2 linked regions of the Saccharomyces cerevisiae S288C genome follow. Changing the gene in region 1 together with any one later gene gives a genetic interaction. Each region holds a gene or a part of one and is shown in the gene's direction. Other genes may lie near its edges.

Evidence for each region. A genetic interaction does not mean that the proteins touch.
Region 2: mutations in CSG2 (region 1) and FAA1 together harm fitness more than expected from each alone (negative genetic interaction), as found in Saccharomyces cerevisiae (4 studies listed by BioGRID).

Annotation. Positions count from the first base shown.
Region 1 is NC_001134.8:308,669-312,426, reverse strand, and holds CSG2 (mannosylinositol phosphorylceramide synthase regulatory subunit), read left to right. Parts: upstream 1-2,113; coding exon 2,114-3,346; downstream 3,347-3,758. Other genes in the region: chitin synthase CHS2, read right to left, coding at 1-529; Cu-binding protein SCO1, read left to right, coding at 975-1,862. UniProt on the Saccharomyces cerevisiae protein: Required for calcium regulation. May regulate calcium accumulation by a non-vacuole organelle. Also regulates the activity of CSH1 and SUR1 during mannosyl phosphorylinositol ceramide synthesis.
Region 2 is NC_001147.6:907,378-911,135, forward strand, and holds the start of FAA1 (long-chain fatty acid-CoA ligase FAA1), read left to right. Parts: upstream 1-1,965; coding exon 1,966-3,758. Other genes in the region: metal cation transporter COT1, read right to left, coding at 1-178; YOR316C-A (uncharacterized protein), read right to left, coding at 349-558. UniProt on the Saccharomyces cerevisiae protein: Activates long-chain fatty acids (LCFA) by esterification of the fatty acids into metabolically active CoA-thioesters for subsequent degradation or incorporation into phospholipids.

The DNA of each region.
Region 1 (3,758 bases):
ATTTTTCCTTTTCATCGTCTGCTTCTGCCAGAGAGGGAGCCGTTGTGGAAGTAGTAGACATCGTGTATTTCGAGCTTTGAGAATACAATCTGCCACTTCCAAACAGATTGTTACTGGGCTGTTGCTGGGGTGATAGATGGTAGGGGTCTACCGGTAGATCTGCATTATCGCGGGGGTAAAGGTTACTCCCCTCACTTAGATGTATGACAGCCTCGCCTGCTCTTTTGGGAGACTCTTGTAGATTAGCAGCATACCTGTTCGGAGCAACTGGAGAGTTATGGGCACTATCGCGGTAAAATTGAGTTCTATGGCGACGGTCTGGGGAGTATCTTAGTGCAGCTCTCGAAGGAGATGCCGGAAGGCCTTGGAAAACGTTAGATTGGTCATAGCTATCCTCCAAACTCTCCTCACTGGGATTAGCCCACCGAGAGTTGCTGTTAGCGTTTGCGTAAAATTTGGAGAGGTTTGAAGCACCACGTCTATTAGGAGAGCCATTCGAAGGTTCCACCATAAACGGGTTTCTCGTCATTTCTATATGTGGTTCTTTGGTTTTTATTTGGGTCTATATGTAACTTCCTCTGTTTTCTCTTCTGAGTCACGAAATCAACAGTAATATTATGGAAGATAGTTAAATAGACTGGGGCCATCCCAAGGGAGAGTCCTCGAATTCCCAATTGAAACTAAATTGAAGTTCTGTAAATTTCAATATCGATGCTATCATACTCAAATAGGAAATATATAAACAAATAGTATAGGGGTTTATACTAGGGTTTTAAACCCCAAAAAACTAACCCTACTATCTTCTTTTCAGACCCTAAATTGAAGGAAATAAACGGGAATAATAATCAATAGCGATCTCCCGAAGAGAAAAGTGAGAAAATAGTATAATTGTGTCTATTGTGTTTATAATCGGCATTAGAAACGTATGTTCGTATAAGGCAAGGGAAACAGAAAAAACAGCAAACGTAGAAAAGATGCTGAAGTTGTCAAGAAGTGCCAATCTAAGATTGGTCCAATTGCCAGCCGCAAGATTAAGTGGCAATGGCGCTAAATTGCTCACTCAAAGGGGATTCTTTACTGTAACGCGCTTATGGCAGTCAAATGGCAAGAAACCATTAAGCAGAGTACCTGTGGGCGGTACTCCCATTAAGGATAACGGCAAAGTGCGAGAAGGCTCGATCGAGTTTTCCACGGGAAAGGCCATTGCTCTATTCCTAGCAGTCGGTGGGGCACTTTCTTATTTCTTCAACAGGGAGAAACGCAGATTGGAAACACAGAAGGAGGCTGAAGCAAACAGAGGATACGGTAAACCTTCACTTGGGGGACCCTTCCATCTGGAGGATATGTATGGCAATGAGTTTACGGAGAAAAACCTTCTCGGTAAGTTTTCTATAATATACTTTGGGTTTAGTAACTGTCCTGACATCTGTCCTGATGAACTGGATAAGCTAGGTCTATGGCTTAATACACTCTCTTCAAAGTATGGTATTACTCTGCAGCCATTATTTATAACTTGTGATCCAGCAAGAGACTCCCCTGCTGTATTGAAAGAGTATTTGAGCGACTTTCATCCCTCCATCCTGGGTTTGACGGGGACGTTCGATGAGGTGAAGAACGCATGCAAGAAGTACAGAGTATACTTTTCTACGCCTCCAAACGTCAAACCGGGCCAAGATTATTTGGTAGACCATTCCATCTTCTTTTATCTCATGGACCCTGAAGGACAGTTTGTTGATGCTTTGGGTAGAAATTATGATGAAAAAACGGGCGTGGACAAGATCGTGGAACACGTTAAGAGTTATGTGCCTGCAGAGCAGCGCGCCAAGCAGAAGGAGGCATGGTACTCCTTCTTATTCAAATAAGATTGTAAATATATGCTACTTTCTTCCTTGTATATACATATATACTTATAACGCTATAACCCGTTCTTGTAATATCGGCTATCACCCGGCGAAGGTGTATCGCAAGAAAAAAAAAAGCTCTCTCACTCTAAAGGAGGCTATGTGAACGTGGGAAGATCAAGTGAAAGAAATGTTTGTAGGCCATTTTCTTCCAGAACAGATCCGCTCTTGAGCTGGTGAGTTAGCACGATAACAAACAAAGATACAGCGTCATGTCTACCACACTACTTTGGTTTTCAAGTGTAATAGGCTACGTGATTCAAACAAAATGTTTGTCTAACATACAATCTAAAAAGGAAATCTCCGTGGGGCCCAATGGTACAATTGCAACGCCTGAAACTAACGGCGACAACGGAAACTCAAGTTCATTAACCTTCTATCTGACCTTTATGTATTTTGCTTCGTGGCTGCTCTTGGTGCCTGCATCTCGACTTTGGGAGAAGATGAGACCGATGTTTGTCTCTGACTCAGACTCGAACAGGAATTCTCAGTTTGACAACAACAACAGCGGGTCTGTGACAAACGAAGATGTCGATACGTTCTCGCACGTGTTGGATGATCCTCAACCACGGATTCCAGCCCAACAGCAGAAGCAAAAAATCATATCCGTGGCTACCTTCAAATATGTGGCTAAGCTAACAGTGCTGGCTCTCATAATGATTGTCGCTGATTTGACTTATAACATGGCTTTGTCATTGTCACCGGCATTTGATGTTGCTTTGATGCAAAATACTGCCATTTTCGAAATTGTCACTTTACTATATGGTGTTTGTGGAATCTCCAGGAAGAACTACGTTTTCCGTAATTTCCTCATCATGATGAACGCGGTCATTGGAATTTTGATCATCTCATACACGAAGGCTACCTGTGACATGCTTGCCGGAAAGCTGTCCGTCAACCCTAACACGGGTGAACTTTCTGACCCATTCTTGTTTGATAGGTTGAAAGGTGCTCTGATTTGCGGCCTTGGTGCTTTGATTATGGGTCCTTTTGCCGTGTTATGGAACCGTTGGTTTTGCAGTAACATTTCCAAGAACGAAAATTCTGCTGTAGTCTTGGTTAAGCAGAGCACCCACATGGCCCTAATCGGTATTATTGGCATGGTAATACTTTTGCCATTTATTCCTAAATTTCCCTCCCGTGAGTCTGTGGAATCCATTTCGTTGTTCTATAATGACAAGAGCTTTTGGTTCTCTCTACTAGGCTCGATTATCTTTGGTTCCTTGCCGAGCTTGATTTCGATATTAGAGTTGAATCGCAAGGCCCCTGCTGAGTATTTGACGACGTGCAACCTGGGAGCTATTATCTTTATGGGGTTAGCTGAGTGGGTTTGCGAACCTACGCAAACCACAATTGTGAGATGGGAAGTCATAGGATACATAATGCTAACGGTAAGTTTGTTGGTCCTATCAGTAACACTCGGGGAAGGTAAATACCACCATTAGTACGGACAACATACTTTATATGACTGATGATGATGTAACAAGCATATGCAATTATTTGGTTTCCCTAAATAAAAAATCCCAATCAATATCTTGATTATTTTCAAGACAATTACTAGGATGTTCTTCTATTTTTTTATTTTTATTTGTATATTGTATATTCTAAAAAGAAGAAGCCATTTGGTGGGCTTTATTATAAATATTAAGAGGCATACCTCCGCCTATCCGCCTATCCTCGTCATGAACAATCAATTAAAAGCGCTTATAAAGCGATATACAAGTACAGTACGCGCGATTTCTACAATACAAAAAATATACATCAAGAAAAAAAATGTTTCCAAAAATTATCTAAATGCATCGAAGGCATTAGGAGAAGTAGCTGTGAATACAACACCAAGATTCATAAAATGAACAC
Region 2 (3,758 bases), on another chromosome or scaffold:
CAACATTTACGGCCCAAAGTGCAACCACAAGAGAAATTATATCGTTTAGCATATGGAATGAGTCCGCGATTAGAGCCAAAGAGTGAGACAAGTACCCGGTAGTTATCTCGATCCCGAAGAACACTGTGTCTAGCAGCAACAAGGATATAATTTTTACCTGTTTGCTTCCGAGTTTCATATTTACTCAATCTTTCCGTACTTTGTGTTAACTTTCTTTCTATAGCTATGCAGAACTATTCTGAGCAAAGTGAAAATAATTGGTTACTAAATAGAACCAGAAATGCTTTTCGAGCTCCCACGTAGAATATATAAGACCAATAAATTCCTTTATTGTACGGATATTCTGCATTACAAATGAGTCTTCTGCTTTATGCGGATCGTCAGCTTATATTGCCTTCGTACAGAAAATGAAAATTCACTACTGGAAACGGGTGAGCGGATGTATGAGTGTATAGTATACACCCGGTTTTTTTTACCCTTTCTAAGACCGGAGCTGGCGACAGTAAGTGATAAGCGGCCGTTGGCGGCCGTGGGTGAGTTATGCATGGGAACCAGCATGAGCCAGCGATGTTCACTATAAAGAGATTAAATGTAGAAAGTGCTGAGAGACCGATCGATTGGTAAACTTTTCAAAAGGTGGCCTTCTCCACACTTTCTTTTTCCCTCGTTCACTCTGCCTTGATCACATGCTTTTTTCTATGGTTAACTTTGAAAAATTCGTTCCATATCGCCCGCCACAAGTTAAAACCAGATATGCGTGGGATATAGTAGGGTGGACTGTTAAGTTAGCTATAATGGGCTTGTACTCTTTTTGAATACAAAAACCACCTTTCTACACCTTAATACAAGCGGTGGTTGGAAAGCATTCTTGATATATATAATTATATGAGTTTTGAAAAAAAGTACTGGGCATCATTTAAATAAGCGGGCTAAACTTTGTTTATGTTTAGGTTAACGATAGACATATTTATTTTTTTTTCTAGGAATAAAAATGAAGAACGGGAAGAAAAGGAAAAATGAAAATGAAGAATATGAAGAGTAAACCTACTTAAAAAAAAAAACCATACTTTAGTATTTAATGTAGCTACCACGCGTATTCGATACACTATTATTTTTCTTGACTTAGTATGTCAATTGTAGGTAGCCTCATGATGCCCTCTTGATCTAAGCGCGGTGAAAGTCCGCAGGCAATTGCTATAATACTGACAAAATTTATAAGGGGAGAGGGTCTTTTTTCGGTCCGCACGGAGCGGGCGAAGAAAACGTAGCGGTGAGAAAAGAATACGTCACCAAAGTATCAGAAACGTCACTGCGTTGTAGATGTAAGACCGATCCACTTTGCCAGCTGCTTACGCTGCGGAAAGTAAACAGACCTAGCTAGCGGACCGATAGAGCCGGCTGAACTTTATAACAAATGCGCCTTCTAACAAGCGATGAAGCCATGCTTAGCGCGGCAAAGAGAATTACTTAGAATATGGATGATGCAGCCCTGTCATATTCTTCCATAAGGGAATGACAAGGACAATAGTAAAGTCGATCACGCCCTGTCAGGAACATGATCTCCGCCATGTGAATATTTATGCATGATACAGGCACGAATACATCATATAATACGAATGACACAGGGGCACCCACCCATCGCATATCAGGAGAACTTCCCTGTGCATACGGGACAGCAGAGATAGGCTGTTCTCGCGCGTTTTTTTTTTTTTTTTGCTTTTTTTGGTTCCTTTCGCGGATATCGTATTATCGATATTACAACAAAAATGTTTGGAGATCTCCTTCGCTGTCTTTAAGTAAAAGGCTTTAACCGCTTATTTTTCTCTCTTTTTTTCCTTTTACCCCTCACTTGTCGTGAGACAATTGTAGTATATTTAGTAAGTATAGAAAGTTCTTGTTGTTAAAAAACTCGTTAGGATACAATAAAAACTAGAACAAACACAAAAGACAAAAAAAGACAACAATATGGTTGCTCAATATACCGTTCCAGTTGGGAAAGCCGCCAATGAGCATGAAACTGCTCCAAGAAGAAATTATCAATGCCGCGAGAAGCCGCTCGTCAGACCGCCTAACACAAAGTGTTCCACTGTTTATGAGTTTGTTCTAGAGTGCTTTCAGAAGAACAAAAATTCAAATGCTATGGGTTGGAGGGATGTTAAGGAAATTCATGAAGAATCCAAATCGGTTATGAAAAAAGTTGATGGCAAGGAGACTTCAGTGGAAAAGAAATGGATGTATTATGAACTATCGCATTATCATTATAATTCATTTGACCAATTGACCGATATCATGCATGAAATTGGTCGTGGGTTGGTGAAAATAGGATTAAAGCCTAATGATGATGACAAATTACATCTTTACGCAGCCACTTCTCACAAGTGGATGAAGATGTTCTTAGGAGCGCAGTCTCAAGGTATTCCTGTCGTCACTGCCTACGATACTTTGGGAGAGAAAGGGCTAATTCATTCTTTGGTGCAAACGGGGTCTAAGGCCATTTTTACCGATAACTCTTTATTACCATCCTTGATCAAACCAGTGCAAGCCGCTCAAGACGTAAAATACATAATTCATTTCGATTCCATCAGTTCTGAGGACAGGAGGCAAAGTGGTAAGATCTATCAATCTGCTCATGATGCCATCAACAGAATTAAAGAAGTTAGACCTGATATCAAGACCTTTAGCTTTGACGACATCTTGAAGCTAGGTAAAGAATCCTGTAACGAAATCGATGTTCATCCACCTGGCAAGGATGATCTTTGTTGCATCATGTATACGTCTGGTTCTACAGGTGAGCCAAAGGGTGTTGTCTTGAAACATTCAAATGTTGTCGCAGGTGTTGGTGGTGCAAGTTTGAATGTTTTGAAGTTTGTGGGCAATACCGACCGTGTTATCTGTTTTTTGCCACTAGCTCATATTTTTGAATTGGTTTTCGAACTATTGTCCTTTTATTGGGGGGCCTGCATTGGTTATGCCACCGTAAAAACTTTAACTAGCAGCTCTGTGAGAAATTGTCAAGGTGATTTGCAAGAATTCAAGCCCACAATCATGGTTGGTGTCGCCGCTGTTTGGGAAACAGTGAGAAAAGGGATCTTAAACCAAATTGATAATTTGCCCTTCCTCACCAAGAAAATCTTCTGGACCGCGTATAATACCAAGTTGAACATGCAACGTCTCCACATCCCTGGTGGCGGCGCCTTAGGAAACTTGGTTTTCAAAAAAATCAGAACTGCCACAGGTGGCCAATTAAGATATTTGTTAAACGGTGGTTCTCCAATCAGTCGGGATGCTCAGGAATTCATCACAAATTTAATCTGCCCTATGCTTATTGGTTACGGTTTAACCGAGACATGCGCTAGTACCACCATCTTGGATCCTGCTAATTTTGAACTCGGCGTCGCTGGTGACCTAACAGGTTGTGTTACCGTCAAACTAGTTGATGTTGAAGAATTAGGTTATTTTGCTAAAAACAACCAAGGTGAAGTTTGGATCACAGGTGCCAATGTCACGCCTGAATATTATAAGAATGAGGAAGAAACTTCTCAAGCTTTAACAAGCGATGGTTGGTTCAAGACCGGTGACATCGGTGAATGGGAAGCAAATGGCCATTTGAAAATAATTGACAGGAAGAAAAACTTGGTCAAAACAATGAACGGTGAATATATCGCACTCGAGAAATTAGAGTCCGTTTACAGATCTAACGAATATGTTGCTAACATTTGTGTTTATGCCGACCAATCTAAGACTAAGCCAGTTGGTAT